Linked DNA regions of Saccharomyces cerevisiae S288C. Changing the gene in region 1 together with any one later gene gives a genetic interaction. Each region holds a gene or a part of one and is shown in the gene's direction. Other genes may lie near its edges.

What was found.
Region 2: mutations in TKL1 (region 1) and DAL81 together harm fitness more than expected from each alone (negative genetic interaction), as found in Saccharomyces cerevisiae (2 studies listed by BioGRID).
Region 3: mutations in TKL1 (region 1) and URE2 together harm fitness more than expected from each alone (negative genetic interaction), as found in Saccharomyces cerevisiae (2 studies listed by BioGRID).
Region 4: mutations in TKL1 (region 1) and MET30 together harm fitness more than expected from each alone (negative genetic interaction), as found in Saccharomyces cerevisiae (2 studies listed by BioGRID).

Annotation. Positions count from the first base shown.
Region 1 is NC_001148.4:692,285-696,442, reverse strand, and holds TKL1 (transketolase TKL1), read left to right. Parts: upstream 1-1,604; coding exon 1,605-3,647; downstream 3,648-4,158. Other genes in the region: OPY2 (Opy2p), read left to right, coding at 1-706; tyrosine protein phosphatase LTP1, read left to right, coding at 4,025-4,158. UniProt on the Saccharomyces cerevisiae protein: Catalyzes the transfer of a two-carbon ketol group from a ketose donor to an aldose acceptor, via a covalent intermediate with the cofactor thiamine pyrophosphate.
Region 2 is NC_001141.2:398,202-403,247, forward strand, and holds DAL81 (Dal81p), read left to right. Parts: upstream 1-1,575; coding exon 1,576-4,488; downstream 4,489-5,046. Other genes in the region: MRS1 (Mrs1p), read left to right, coding at 1-184; YIR021W-A (uncharacterized protein), read left to right, coding at 313-525; signal peptidase complex catalytic subunit SEC11, read left to right, coding at 532-1,035; INA22 (Ina22p), read right to left, coding at 4,640-5,046. UniProt on the Saccharomyces cerevisiae protein: Positive regulation of genes required for catabolism of GABA (UGA4, UGA1, and UGA2), urea (DUR1 and DUR2), arginine and allantoin.
Region 3 is NC_001146.8:218,572-221,730, reverse strand, and holds URE2 (glutathione peroxidase), read left to right. Parts: upstream 1-1,529; coding exon 1,530-2,594; downstream 2,595-3,159. Other genes in the region: JJJ1 (Jjj1p), read left to right, coding at 1-1,072; ELA1 (elongin A), read left to right, coding at 3,069-3,159. UniProt on the Saccharomyces cerevisiae protein: Plays an important role in nitrogen catabolite repression. Down-regulates the expression of many genes involved in nitrogen utilization by inhibiting the GATA transcriptional activators GLN3 and GAT1.
Region 4 is NC_001141.2:266,851-271,086, forward strand, and holds MET30 (ubiquitin-binding SDF ubiquitin ligase complex subunit MET30), read left to right. Parts: upstream 1-1,800; coding exon 1,801-3,723; downstream 3,724-4,236. Other genes in the region: SYG1 (Syg1p), read right to left, coding at 1-973; YIL046W-A (uncharacterized protein), read left to right, coding at 1,459-1,623. UniProt on the Saccharomyces cerevisiae protein: Substrate-recognition component of the SCF(Met30) complex, an E3 ubiquitin ligase complex that mediates the ubiquitination and subsequent proteasomal degradation of target proteins. Negatively regulates sulfur amino acids biosynthesis genes expression.

The DNA of each region.
Region 1 (4,158 bases):
AAATAAAGCTTTGAAATTGGAAGAGGCATCGCAAAGTTACGGGAATGAAGAGGAATACTTCGACGATGAAGACGATGATGATGAAGACGATGAGGATGATGGCGGTATGAGAAAAGATGAAAGTCACACCCTGTTCAATACGTCACTGGTACCTCCAACTCTCAACGTGCCGGGAAACAGAAGTTCAGCATCTACCACTCGTACAAGGGCTTCTAATATTTTGCCTATTGCCTACATTCCTGGTGTGACAAGCGGTTTGAGTACCGACAAACTGCAATCAAAACTACGCTCGAGCTCTAAGAGACAAAATGCAGCTGGTGATATCAGGTCACATATAACCTTAGGTTCTTCCATCTTGGATGGTCTGGATGACGAAGATGACGAGCATAACCAGGTACTCAATAAGGACGCAGACGATAACCTCATAACTGCTATTCGTGCTAAACCTAAACTGGTTCAAATCGCAGAGGAAGAGAGTGATAAGGAGATTCAGGACTTGGATGTCATTGAAGAACAGACAGAGGCGGATGATCTTTCACACATGGCAAAAAGCGAGGCAAGCCATGGTAATAACGACGAAGATGACGATGAAGAAGGAAGTTTTATACTGGACTTGGAAATTCCAGAATCGATACGCGAGAGCACCCAGGGCAGTCGCACTGAGAGCCCGTTTGAGGACAAGTTCGAAATACACGATGAACGATAAATAAAAGGCGTGTCAGTATTCTGCAATCCCGGGGAAAATATTATATCATATCAATATTCAATGATCTACGTCTATATAGTTACGTGTATACGCCGTAATAAGCGCTTTTTTTTTTTTTTTAATTTTCTGACTACTGTTCAGCCATCAAGGTATGTCTAAATTAATAATATTCAGCATTTTCAACGTGCGCTTACCATCTGCTAATACACAGCTCCTCTGAAAGTTTCTTGGCCGAATGTCATAATTTTCGAACCAAATATAAAAATTCATACACATTAAAACAAGATGTGCTTACAAAGCGGATAAGTTCCGCAGCAGCCAAAGCTGCATTGAGACATTTTTCGCATACACATCACTTCTCTGGGGAATGAAGCATCCGAAAACGCCAACGGGACTAAAATACAGCAAACTTGCATTTTGGTCATTTATGGTTAGCAAGTTTAAGTGCTACTACATTACATATTACCTGACCCTGAAAACGGGCTTAAAAGCCCATCTACTATAGTGCCGCTGCGGGTAACCGTAGCTTCTTGCTTTTTTTCCCACCGTCATTTATTTTCTAGTCTTCTTTCCGAGAAATGCCGGCGGCGTTTGCCGTTCCGTTCGCAATCTCTCGAGAAGTTCGAGAGATGAAAAATTTTCTTGGGAAAGCCAAGAAGGTACGATCGTAGGCATGATTCATATATAAACTCTTTCCCAATCTTTTTGGTTACGTACATACTCCCCCCTGATCTTTTACCTACATACTTGATCGTGACTTCTTGATTCATTCATTTCTTGTTCTCACCGTTGTCTTCCTTTTAAATTTCGTTTTTTAAGTTTCAGATCAAACTGAAGTACAACAGAGAAGGAAGCTCATCCCAAGCAACTCTACATAGTTACCTCTTTAGCAAACAAAATGACTCAATTCACTGACATTGATAAGCTAGCCGTCTCCACCATAAGAATTTTGGCTGTGGACACCGTATCCAAGGCCAACTCAGGTCACCCAGGTGCTCCATTGGGTATGGCACCAGCTGCACACGTTCTATGGAGTCAAATGCGCATGAACCCAACCAACCCAGACTGGATCAACAGAGATAGATTTGTCTTGTCTAACGGTCACGCGGTCGCTTTGTTGTATTCTATGCTACATTTGACTGGTTACGATCTGTCTATTGAAGACTTGAAACAGTTCAGACAGTTGGGTTCCAGAACACCAGGTCATCCTGAATTTGAGTTGCCAGGTGTTGAAGTTACTACCGGTCCATTAGGTCAAGGTATCTCCAACGCTGTTGGTATGGCCATGGCTCAAGCTAACCTGGCTGCCACTTACAACAAGCCGGGCTTTACCTTGTCTGACAACTACACCTATGTTTTCTTGGGTGACGGTTGTTTGCAAGAAGGTATTTCTTCAGAAGCTTCCTCCTTGGCTGGTCATTTGAAATTGGGTAACTTGATTGCCATCTACGATGACAACAAGATCACTATCGATGGTGCTACCAGTATCTCATTCGATGAAGATGTTGCTAAGAGATACGAAGCCTACGGTTGGGAAGTTTTGTACGTAGAAAATGGTAACGAAGATCTAGCCGGTATTGCCAAGGCTATTGCTCAAGCTAAGTTATCCAAGGACAAACCAACTTTGATCAAAATGACCACAACCATTGGTTACGGTTCCTTGCATGCCGGCTCTCACTCTGTGCACGGTGCCCCATTGAAAGCAGATGATGTTAAACAACTAAAGAGCAAATTCGGTTTCAACCCAGACAAGTCCTTTGTTGTTCCACAAGAAGTTTACGACCACTACCAAAAGACAATTTTAAAGCCAGGTGTCGAAGCCAACAACAAGTGGAACAAGTTGTTCAGCGAATACCAAAAGAAATTCCCAGAATTAGGTGCTGAATTGGCTAGAAGATTGAGCGGCCAACTACCCGCAAATTGGGAATCTAAGTTGCCAACTTACACCGCCAAGGACTCTGCCGTGGCCACTAGAAAATTATCAGAAACTGTTCTTGAGGATGTTTACAATCAATTGCCAGAGTTGATTGGTGGTTCTGCCGATTTAACACCTTCTAACTTGACCAGATGGAAGGAAGCCCTTGACTTCCAACCTCCTTCTTCCGGTTCAGGTAACTACTCTGGTAGATACATTAGGTACGGTATTAGAGAACACGCTATGGGTGCCATAATGAACGGTATTTCAGCTTTCGGTGCCAACTACAAACCATACGGTGGTACTTTCTTGAACTTCGTTTCTTATGCTGCTGGTGCCGTTAGATTGTCCGCTTTGTCTGGCCACCCAGTTATTTGGGTTGCTACACATGACTCTATCGGTGTCGGTGAAGATGGTCCAACACATCAACCTATTGAAACTTTAGCACACTTCAGATCCCTACCAAACATTCAAGTTTGGAGACCAGCTGATGGTAACGAAGTTTCTGCCGCCTACAAGAACTCTTTAGAATCCAAGCATACTCCAAGTATCATTGCTTTGTCCAGACAAAACTTGCCACAATTGGAAGGTAGCTCTATTGAAAGCGCTTCTAAGGGTGGTTACGTACTACAAGATGTTGCTAACCCAGATATTATTTTAGTGGCTACTGGTTCCGAAGTGTCTTTGAGTGTTGAAGCTGCTAAGACTTTGGCCGCAAAGAACATCAAGGCTCGTGTTGTTTCTCTACCAGATTTCTTCACTTTTGACAAACAACCCCTAGAATACAGACTATCAGTCTTACCAGACAACGTTCCAATCATGTCTGTTGAAGTTTTGGCTACCACATGTTGGGGCAAATACGCTCATCAATCCTTCGGTATTGACAGATTTGGTGCCTCCGGTAAGGCACCAGAAGTCTTCAAGTTCTTCGGTTTCACCCCAGAAGGTGTTGCTGAAAGAGCTCAAAAGACCATTGCATTCTATAAGGGTGACAAGCTAATTTCTCCTTTGAAAAAAGCTTTCTAAATTCTGATCGTAGATCATCAGATTTGATATGATATTATTTGTGAAAAAATGAAATAAAACTTTATACAACTTAAATACAACTTTTTTTATAAACGATTAAGCAAAAAAATAGTTTCAAACTTTTAACAATATTCCAAACACTCAGTCCTTTTCCTTCTTATATTATAGGTGTACGTATTATAGAAAAATTTCAATGATTACTTTTTCTTTCTTTTTCCTTGTACCAGCACATGGCCGAGCTTGAATGTTAAACCCTTCGAGAGAATCACACCATTCAAGTATAAAGCCAATAAAGAATATAACTCCTAAAAGGCTAATTGAAACCCTGTGATTTTTGATAAGCGATAGAAAACTGAGAAGGGAAAGTTAACACGAAAATGACAATTGAAAAACCAAAAATATCGGTCGCATTCATTTGTTTGGGTAACTTCTGTAGATCACCAATGGCGGAAGCCATTTTCAAACATGAAGTCGAAAAGGCTAATCTAGAAAATCGATTCAACAAGATTGA
Region 2 (5,046 bases), on another chromosome or scaffold:
TACTATGGAGTCGAGTAAAGTTCTTCGTACGTATAGCAACCTCGTTGACATTGTGATGAAGGACAATGGTAGGTTGGACTCAGGCGTCCTAAAGCAATTCAACGACTACGTTAAGCAAGAAAAGCTCAATCTACAACATTTTCAGGCCGGTTCCTCAAAGTTTCTCAAAGGCGCAAAGATATAATCCTCTTATATAGCATGTAAATAGAAAGTACGTAAAAAAAAGCTACTATTGACTTTATTCTCCGTGAGGGCGGTTCTTTCTGTAGCTGTTGGTTTTTTCCAGATCTTATGTGACACACCTGCACAACAATGTCATTCTCTGTCAGCTGCAAGACTCCCAAGACCACGAAGCTGCTGGTATCTTCTATTTCAGAGAGCGCTGTTGCTCTTATTATTATTACCATACGTATACTTTTTTCCATTGGCAAAAGCGATTTCAAAAAAATAATCTCCAAGGAAATAAATGGTGCAGAAACAATATACTACAGAAATATACCGGAAAGTAAACCCCAAGGGAGTTAGCACAAGATGAATCTAAGATTTGAATTGCAGAAACTATTGAACGTTTGCTTTTTGTTTGCATCTGCTTACATGTTCTGGCAAGGCTTAGCCATTGCTACTAATAGCGCTTCTCCGATCGTGGTGGTGCTTTCAGGCTCCATGGAACCAGCTTTCCAAAGGGGTGATATCCTTTTCCTATGGAATAGAAATACTTTCAACCAAGTAGGTGATGTCGTGGTGTATGAGGTCGAAGGGAAACAAATCCCCATTGTGCATAGAGTTTTGAGGCAACATAACAATCACGCGGACAAGCAATTCCTCCTGACCAAAGGTGACAATAACGCCGGCAATGATATCTCACTATATGCTAATAAGAAAATTTACTTGAACAAGTCAAAGGAGATTGTAGGGACCGTCAAGGGCTACTTTCCACAACTAGGGTACATTACGATTTGGATTAGCGAGAACAAATATGCCAAGTTTGCATTGTTAGGTATGTTGGGGTTGAGTGCTCTGCTGGGGGGCGAGTAGTTCGCCAAGTTTTTTTGGAACGATGTTTACGTACTTTGTATTTGTGCTTATGGTCTTTAACTTGTTTAATTATATAACCATAACCATTCGGTCCACGCTGAAAACAAAATATTGTCTTAGGACACGCTTTGAGAATTATTGAAAAAGGAGCTCCCACAGTGATGTAGGCAATTCAACAGAGATGATTTGTGTCATTTTTTATAAGGTGATACCGTCGCTCATTAACTCGATATCTTGAAAAGGCATATGTGTCGGTAATTGAGACCGCTAGGTTTAACTTCTCGAATAAAAAATGGTCTAAGCTGCATAAGCATATAGAATTGTACAATCAGTGTATAGGTAGAGCAGAAGCAGTCCAAGATTCGAGCTAATAATACTCATATAATATCCATCGCGATGGGTATTATATGAAACATAACAATCGTACATGGTGATTGAAAATAATAGATGATAAGAATCATTTTCAAATAATAGTGTAGATCTTAAAAACTCTTGGCCTGTTTAGACGAGCGGCAGAACGACAGGCAGCCATACTATCAAATGGACCCTCACCAATCACCAGCTGATAATGCCGCATCGCCTACGAAGAGCGTGAAGGCAACCACTAAAAATTCGTCCACGAATAATAATGTCAATAGCAACAACAGCAATAATAACAGTAACCATGATATACTGAATTTTAATGATAACTATACTACCATTCTGCAACATTTGGCAAACGACCATCCTAATATACTGAGGGAGAAAGGAGGATCACAACAACAACAGCATCAGCAGCAGCAACAACAGCAACAACAGCAGCAACAACAGCAGCAACAACAGAGCCTGGATACCCTTTTGCACCATTATCAAAGTTTACTCTCCAAGAGTGATAATGCAATAGCCTTTGATGACAATGTTAGTAACAGCGCAGATCATAATGGCAGTAATAGCAACAATAATAACAACAATAATGACATATCTAGTCCCGGTAATCTGATGGGATCTTGCAATCAATGTAGATTAAAGAAAACAAAGTGCAACTATTTTCCCGACCTAGGCAACTGTCTCGAATGTGAAACGTCAAGAACTAAATGCACCTTCAGTATTGCTCCAAATTATTTGAAAAGAACGTCCTCTGGGGCAAACAATAACATGCCAACCTCTTCAAACTCCAAACGAATGAAAAATTTTGAAGACTATTCGAATCGCTTACCCAGTAGCATGCTCTATAGACATCAACAGCAGCAGCAACAGCAACAGCAGCAACAGCGTATACAATACCCCAGATCCTCTTTTTTCGTCGGTCCGGCCTCAGTTTTCGATTTGAACTTGACCAAGCATGTAAGACTAGATAATGTTGACCAAATACAGCTATCAAAAACTTTATCATTAAGAAAGGTGTCTCCTACCGCACAGTTTATTCTTCAGGACGATTTTGACACGACCCTTCATAGTAAGCAAGAATACGAAGTTGATTTGGTCGAAAATCTGGTACATCCGCACGGTCACCTTTTAGTAGAGATTTTCTTCAAATTGATTCATCCTTTTCTTCCAATTTTACACGAACGTGTATTTTTGGAAAAGTATTCTAGATCTTATAGAGAACTCACTGCGCCTTTACTGGCATCCATTTACTCACTGGCATTACAATATTGGGATTTTCATCCTGCACTTTTGGGGTTCCCTAAACCCGATGTAACTGCTCAACTAAACAATATCGCATTGGAAACATTTTATGCTCGAGTTGGAAGGCCAAAATTGAGCATTATACAAACAGGCCTTTTGATTTTGCAATGCCGTAGTGAATGTCATAACAACTGGGTCCTCTGCTCCAGCGTAGTGGCCCTTGCAGAGGAATTGGGGCTCGGGGTTGAATGTAATGATTGGAAACTTCCCAAATGGGAAAAAGATTTGAGAAAGAGATTAGCGTGGGCAGTTTGGTTGATGGATAAATGGTGTGCATTAAACGAAGGTAGACAATCCCATTTAATTTTAGGTAGGAACTGGATGATCAAGCTATTAAACTTTGATGATTTTCCTCTGAATTCGCCCACTATTTTAAATTCCTTGCAAAATGACCAGTCGGGGTCTTCACCCTCGTCATCAAATGATGTGAAAAACCATCAGATAGCATTTGGTAACTTGCCCATATTTAACATAAACCCCACTTTAGAAGATTTCAAGAATGGAACGCTTATGTTTCAACAAATGGTTTCCTTGAGTATAATTCTTGGGGAAATCATGGACACATTTTACACTCAGGGATCCATGACAATAAACAAAAGCATTGAACAGGTATTGAAACTGGCAAAGCCGTTGCAACTGAAATTAAGAGAATGGTACCATTCCCTACCCAAGAATTTGTCAATGAGTTATGCCACGCCACAAAAATTGAACTCAAATTCAACTTTAACTCTAGCTTATTTTGCCACGGAAATTACGTTACATAGGAAAATTATCTGTGCCTTGAATCCTCAAACTCCAAAGGAACTGGTTCAAGTATGCAGGACTGCTGCAAGAACCAGGCTTGTAGCAGCAATTGAATTTATAAGAGATCTAAAAAACGAACATATTAATGCTTTTTGGTATAACTGCTCAACTGGAAATCTGATGCTAATTGGAACATTTGCTGCCCTGCTGTATGTGACTTCAGCTACGAAGGAAGAGGCTATGATTTTCAGAGATTATGTTAGAAATTATACCTGGGTATTGAAGATAGGTTCCAAATACTTTGATAAACTATCGAATGCTTTGAATAATATGCATTTACTATTTGCACAAATTCCTGGTCTTCTGACCGATGAACCGGTGGTCGTGAGCCCTAACTCTAACATCAATTCCGTTAACCCACAAAGGTCAGGTGTACAATCGCAAATCCCAATACAATTTAACGTGGGATCACCTGCCATGACCGAGCAAGGATCTCCTTTAAACCAGTGGAAGAATTTGCCCCAGGAAATCTTGCAACAACTAAACTCCTTTCCCAACGGTACGACCAGTACAACAACGCCAGTAAACCCCACTTCCAGACAAACACAACTAGAATCGCAGGGAAGTCCAGCCATAAATAGTGCTAATAATAATAGCAACAACACGCCTTTACCATTTGCGCCAAATAAGTCTTCTAAAAAAACTTCACAATCTTCACCAAATGTTACGCCCTCTCATATGAGCAGACACCCCCCCTCTAATACATCTTCACCAAGAGTCAATTCCAGCACAAATGTCAACTCTAATACACAAATGAATGCTTCTCCCTTGACCTCAATTAACGAAACCAGACAAGAGTCAGGTGACGCTGCAGATGAAAAAACAGCAGGAAGAGAAAGAACCGCCAACGAGGAATCATCAACGGAACTCAAGGACGATAATCCAAACTCGAACCAGGAAACAAGCGCAACTGGTAACCAAACTATAAAAATGAATGATGATAAAAATGTAACAATTAACACAAGGGAAACCCCTCTGTAATATAAATAATAGCACATAAGTAAAAATGGAATACGGTAATAACTATATAGAAATATCTTCTGCAGGACCAAGGTTACTGAGTGGTGAATGTAAAATTATTTATTCGCTTGCGTTATATTTACATGTGGTATATCCGGATGCATAGAGCCTACTATAGAAATTTTGGGATTTTATCATGTTCTTTGGCGATTTCATTCAAATCACCTGGTTGGTTCATCATCATATGGACATCACCACTTAGGTAAACCTTTTCATCTTCTTTTTTCGACTTTTCTAAATCTTTTAGAACATTCAAATCAGTGACAATCCCTTCTTTGTTCTTAACGCCAGCATCTGGAGTTTTTTCGATTACTTCTTTTTTTGCCTCGTCTATTATACTTTGCCAGATCTCTTCCAATGACTCTTCCTTAGGAACCACAATATCAGTCTCATCTTCCTTCATCCCAGTTGCGTTCTTGCCGACGATTCCTAAACGCAAATTCACAAGTTTCAATTCATCATCTGCGTCGAAGTCTACCTTTCCATTATTATCATGAACCCTCCGTATCAGCTCTTTCA
Region 3 (3,159 bases), on another chromosome or scaffold:
TAGGCAACAAGCTCGAAATGAATACAACAAAACCGTGAAAAGGTTTGTAGTTTTCATAAAAAAGCTCGATAAAAGAATGAAAGAAGGTGCAAAAATTGCAGAAGAACAGCGTAAACTAAAAGAACAACAGAGGAAAAATGAGTTAAATAACAGAAGAAAGTTTGGGAACGACAACAATGACGAAGAAAAATTTCATTTACAAAGCTGGCAAACGGTAAAAGAAGAAAACTGGGATGAACTGGAAAAGGTATATGATAATTTTGGAGAATTCGAAAATTCTAAGAATGATAAGGAAGGTGAAGTATTGATTTACGAGTGTTTTATCTGCAACAAGACATTTAAGTCGGAAAAGCAATTGAAAAACCACATAAACACTAAACTGCATAAGAAAAATATGGAAGAGATACGGAAAGAAATGGAAGAGGAAAACATAACGCTTGGGTTGGATAATCTCTCCGATCTCGAGAAATTTGATTCAGCAGATGAAAGTGTTAAAGAAAAAGAAGATATTGATCTGCAAGCATTGCAAGCTGAACTCGCTGAAATTGAAAGAAAACTGGCAGAATCGTCTTCTGAAGACGAAAGTGAAGATGACAATCTCAACATAGAAATGGATATAGAGGTAGAAGACGTCAGTTCGGATGAAAATGTACATGTGAATACGAAGAATAAAAAGAAAAGAAAAAAGAAAAAAAAAGCAAAGGTTGACACAGAAACAGAGGAATCTGAATCGTTCGATGATACTAAAGACAAACGGAGTAATGAGTTGGATGATCTTTTGGCATCACTAGGAGACAAGGGCTTACAAACGGATGACGATGAAGATTGGTCTACTAAAGCGAAAAAGAAAAAGGGCAAACAACCTAAAAAGAATTCTAAATCCACAAAAAGCACTCCGTCCTTGTCGACTCTACCGTCCTCTATGTCTCCAACCTCCGCGATCGAGGTGTGCACTACATGCGGAGAATCATTTGATAGTCGAAATAAGCTATTCAACCACGTGAAGATAGCAGGGCATGCGGCAGTGAAAAACGTAGTGAAAAGAAAGAAAGTCAAGACCAAAAGAATATAGTGACACCAAACCATAGAACGCCGAAACAGAAATTATTAGTAGAGCTGTGTAGAGTTTAATTTAACTGTAGTCAATGTGGAAAATGAATACCGACTGTTGTCTGGAATAACAACATTAATCCGGGTGACGCAGCCTGGAATTTTTTTTTCAATTCTCGCCGAATAGGAGGATTGATGAGCTGCCACTATTGAATTTTTGAGGAAGAGTGGCTTCAGCATGTAGTTTTCCTTTCTACTAGGCCAGAAAAGCAACTATACAAAGACGAAAGCTTCCTTACTCGAGGTTGAAAAGAATAGCAAAAATCTTTCCTTTTCAAACAGCTCATTTGGAATTGTTTATAGCACTGAATTGAATCGAAGAGGAATAAAGATCCCCCGTACGAACTTCTTTATTTTTAGTTTTTCATTTTTTGTTATTAGTCATATTGTTTTAAGCTGCAAATTAAGTTGTACACCAAATGATGAATAACAACGGCAACCAAGTGTCGAATCTCTCCAATGCGCTCCGTCAAGTAAACATAGGAAACAGGAACAGTAATACAACCACCGATCAAAGTAATATAAATTTTGAATTTTCAACAGGTGTAAATAATAATAATAATAACAATAGCAGTAGTAATAACAATAATGTTCAAAACAATAACAGCGGCCGCAATGGTAGCCAAAATAATGATAACGAGAATAATATCAAGAATACCTTAGAACAACATCGACAACAACAACAGGCATTTTCGGATATGAGTCACGTGGAGTATTCCAGAATTACAAAATTTTTTCAAGAACAACCACTGGAGGGATATACCCTTTTCTCTCACAGGTCTGCGCCTAATGGATTCAAAGTTGCTATAGTACTAAGTGAACTTGGATTTCATTATAACACAATCTTCCTAGATTTCAATCTTGGCGAACATAGGGCCCCCGAATTTGTGTCTGTGAACCCTAATGCAAGAGTTCCAGCTTTAATCGATCATGGTATGGACAACTTGTCTATTTGGGAATCAGGGGCGATTTTATTACATTTGGTAAATAAATATTACAAAGAGACTGGTAATCCATTACTCTGGTCCGATGATTTAGCTGACCAATCACAAATCAACGCATGGTTGTTCTTCCAAACGTCAGGGCATGCGCCAATGATTGGACAAGCTTTACATTTCAGATACTTCCATTCACAAAAGATAGCAAGTGCTGTAGAAAGATATACGGATGAGGTTAGAAGAGTTTACGGTGTAGTGGAGATGGCCTTGGCTGAACGTAGAGAAGCGCTGGTGATGGAATTAGACACGGAAAATGCGGCTGCATACTCAGCTGGTACAACACCAATGTCACAAAGTCGTTTCTTTGATTATCCCGTATGGCTTGTAGGAGATAAATTAACTATAGCAGATTTGGCCTTTGTCCCATGGAATAATGTCGTGGATAGAATTGGCATTAATATCAAAATTGAATTTCCAGAAGTTTACAAATGGACGAAGCATATGATGAGAAGACCCGCGGTCATCAAGGCATTGCGTGGTGAATGAAGGCTGCTTTAAAAACAAGAAAGAAAGAAGAAGGAGGAAAAGAAGGTTATAAGGGTATGTATATAGGCAGACAAAAAGGAAAATTAAGTGCAAATATAAACAAAAATGTCATAGAAGTATATAATAGTTTTGAAATTTCTGTTGCTTCTATTTATTCTTTGTTACCCCAACCACAGAATTCCAAAATTTTGTTTTATGTAATAATTGAAATACTATAAATTTCTCAACTATATTCGGGGTGTTGTCACTGTATATCTGGCGCTTTCAATAAAGCTGGTACAATTGCGTATTTTTCTCGGCATTTGCCACGATGGGCTTAAGAAAGATCACAATAGAAAATTTCAAATATTTAATATTTGCGAAGAAGGGATTTGTTCAGTTATGACGATTAGATACATATGTAACTTACATGCAAACGGTTTTTGTTCATGGAAATACGTTCTAGTGAATGTATAAATCGATTGATGTCGAGATATGAAAAGTTTACAAACACTATGTGAAATCTCATTGATGAGAAATCATTCAAACATACAATCTGTGAGTAATGTCCCCTATCACTTATTAA
Region 4 (4,236 bases), on another chromosome or scaffold:
TCTGTGCCACCAACTGCACGTTGGCATCCGCGTGCTTGAAAAGGGTGTAGTGGGTCCTGGCGTACGACATGAACGTGGTCAGCTCTCTTGTGTGACACGTTTTGTCGAATTTCTTGACCATTTTACGGAACCCGGTGACGTTGATATCCCGGAACGATTTGACCAATTGCAAGTACAGATAGTACTCGATTATAGCGTTGCTTAACAAGTTTCTAGCCTGGGTTGTCGTCATAGTCTCCAGAAAAGAAGCGCCAAAAGCAAACGTCTCGCGGCCTCTTGAGGACGCATCCTGTCTCAAGTCCTGTAGCAGAGAAAATCCACGTTTGGGCCACGATGGCAGCAGCCTATTGTCCTTAAGAACTTTCTGACAGTACGCTAGCAGCGACAAACGCGGCTTCTTGGCCTCTTTGGTGCAGGGCATTGACCCATACATAACAGACCGGCTATCGCTGTCGATGCTATTGACCCTGGAGTCAGAACGACCAGCAAGCCCTGCCGCATATAGACTCGTGGACATGTCAACATTCGAACTAGACCGGTTCAAGTTGTCGCGCTCATAATTCTTCTGCAGCGAGTAATAGTGCAGTTGCGACTGTAAAACCTCAAACTTCTTGTCGCACTCCTTTAGCAACCAAAGGTAAAACTCGTTACACTTACTCAACTGGAACGAGATCAACCAGTCTTCAATGAAGTCAGCAACGAACTCCCTCTGCAAAGCAGAATAGTCCTTCTTGAACGCAGGTCCGGAGCGATAGTCTCCGTCGCTGCGACTTTTGCCGGGCTCTCTCTGCTGAAATGCAGTCTGGTATACCGACACAGAGGGCATCCAGCTCCGGTAGGAGCTGGATTGCTCTTCTTCGGCATCCAGCTTCTCCTTGTAGCGGCGAAGCTTCTTCTTGCCGACCTTATAATCAATATATTTGTCCCTCCATTCCGGGATGGCAGACTCGGTTAGATGGTCAGCAAACTTCATCTGATACGGTGCTATGGTAAAGCCCTTCCATTGCTGCCAACTGAATTAAAAAAAAAAAAAAAATAACTACCAACCATCAAATCAAACAAAACAAAACAAAAAAGCAAAGGAGAAAACCCATCTTGTACATGTACAGTCCCAAACTGTTGCGAAACCGTGCGATGATGTTCATGGAACTTGCGTCAAATAAAACCGCATCCCGTCCCACGTGACAAACGGCACCCAAAATCCGTTCTAGAAATGCCTCACACCCACACCGATGATGGGCTTCCGACTCGATGACTACCAACACATAGCCAGCCGCAGCGGCTGGCAGCATGTGCATGATAATGATAAGTGATGATGAATGATGGTGATAACGATTTTGAACAAATGGCTGCAGCGATAGCAACTAAGGGGATGGAAAGACAGATCTGGGAGAGATAACTGCAGGGTGTGGCACGGCAACACAAGGCTATTGTATTGCACTAAACGGGCAAGAAGCCATGATGTGCGTCTGTATCCCAAAAAAAAAACTAATGGATTGGCGCGTGTACTATATATATTCATATGTCGTGTGTTTGTATATGTGTGGGAGTGATTGTGCGTGTATATGTGTGTTGGCGTGTGTGGTACAATGTGTGTGTTTTAATGTAGAAATGAGGTTGTAGCACGTGATCGGGAAGCCACAGTTTGCGCGGAGATATTTTATTTTTTTTCATCAGCGTAAGAAGAAAGCAACCTTGCAGTCTGTATCGTAAGAGAAGACTGCAGTTAAAGAAGTTTAGAGAAGAGGCTTGAGTATCGGTAAAGGGGTGTGTGTTTGGTGATTTATAAAGGAGAAGGGCATGAGGAGAGAGAGGCAAAGGATGATGAGTTTCGAGGACAAGGACAAGGACGACCTTGACAATAGTAATAGTAATAACAGCAGTGAAATGACAGATACGGCGATGATGCCACCATTAAAGAGATTGCTTATTACGGGCAGTAGCGATGATTTGGCACAAGGATCATCGGGTAAGAAGAAGATGACGATGGCGACGAGGTCGCCATCGTCATCACCCGATTTGGCGACAAACGACAGCGGCACTAGGGTACAGCCATTGCCAGAATATAACTTCACCAAGTTCTGCTATCGGCATAACCCGGACATTCAGTTCTCACCAACTCATACAGCGTGCTACAAGCAGGATTTGAAACGAACGCAAGAGATTAATGCTAATATCGCGAAGCTACCCCTGCAGGAGCAATCCGACATCCACCACATTATCTCGAAGTACAGCAATTCCAATGACAAGATACGGAAGCTGATTCTGGATGGGATCCTATCGACGAGTTGCTTCCCACAGCTTTCCTACATTTCGTCACTCGTTACACACATGATCAAGATCGACTTCATCAGCATTCTGCCGCAGGAGCTGTCGCTGAAGATCTTGAGTTATCTGGATTGCCAATCTCTTTGCAACGCCACGAGAGTGTGCCGCAAGTGGCAGAAGCTCGCGGATGACGACAGGGTATGGTACCACATGTGCGAGCAGCACATAGACAGGAAATGTCCCAACTGTGGCTGGGGGCTGCCTCTTTTGCACATGAAACGTGCGCGGATACAACAGAATAGTACAGGATCTAGCAGCAACGCAGATATCCAGACGCAAACTACGCGACCTTGGAAAGTCATCTACAGAGAACGGTTCAAAGTGGAGTCAAACTGGAGAAAGGGCCACTGCAGGATTCAGGAATTCAAGGGCCACATGGATGGTGTGTTAACGCTCCAGTTTAACTACAGGCTTTTGTTCACAGGCTCGTACGACTCCACCATAGGTATATGGGACTTATTCACGGGGAAGCTAATACGAAGGCTCAGCGGCCATTCGGACGGCGTCAAGACATTATATTTTGACGATAGAAAGCTGATTACGGGCTCGCTCGACAAGACGATCCGTGTTTGGAACTACATAACCGGTGAATGCATTTCCACGTATCGAGGCCACTCGGATAGCGTTCTGAGCGTAGATTCATACCAGAAGGTTATCGTTTCCGGCAGTGCTGACAAGACGGTCAAGGTATGGCACGTGGAGTCCAGGACATGCTACACCTTGAGAGGCCACACGGAATGGGTTAATTGCGTCAAATTGCATCCGAAAAGCTTTTCATGTTTTAGTTGCAGTGACGATACCACAATCCGAATGTGGGATATCAGGACCAATTCATGCCTAAAAGTGTTCAGGGGTCATGTAGGGCAGGTGCAAAAGATCATACCGCTTACCATTAAGGATGTAGAGAATCTAGCCACCGACAACACTTCTGATGGCAGCTCTCCGCAGGATGACCCAACAATGACTGATGGTGCAGACGAATCAGACACACCGTCGAACGAGCAAGAAACTGTCTTAGATGAAAACATACCTTATCCAACACATCTACTATCTTGCGGACTGGATAACACAATCAAACTATGGGACGTCAAAACCGGTAAATGCATAAGAACACAGTTTGGGCACGTGGAAGGTGTTTGGGACATCGCCGCTGACAACTTCAGAATTATAAGTGGTTCTCACGACGGAAGCATTAAGGTCTGGGACTTGCAAAGCGGGAAGTGTATGCACACGTTCAACGGTCGAAGACTACAAAGAGAAACTCAGCACACACAAACACAATCCTTGGGTGATAAAGTCGCCCCTATCGCTTGTGTTTGTATTGGAGATTCAGAATGCTTTAGTGGTGATGAATTTGGGTGCGTAAAAATGTACAAATTCGATCTCAATGATTAGGACCTGTGTGTGGTCTTTTCTTGGTCAAAAACATCCGTAGTACCTCGAATATATATGCTTACATATATAATGAAAAATACATAATAGCATTTTACATTTATTTTATTTCCAGGAAAAAAATAAATCGCTAGCGTATCACTAGCCTTTTCCATCTTCAGTTTTTTTCCTTCCTCTTTTTCGTCTCGATAAAACTCTTGACCATTAGATGCTATTACTCCCCCACGGAGCCCTTCCCACGCTAAGGGGGATGTCAAGGGGGGGACTGAAGATAAAGCTTATTATATTGACGGCGATGATGAAGAGGGCGTACGCATAAAATGTCGTACAAGATCCATAATCTGCAATATTGTTCCCTCAACAGTACTAATAAATCCAAAGGGCGAAGGTACTTTATTATATAAACGCGCACGGCCATTGTATATAAAGGCGATTACATAATAGAATACTTATCGATTCCGTAATCCTTGAAATATAGAATATACATAAAATAGACAAGAACCCAACAGTTGAGGC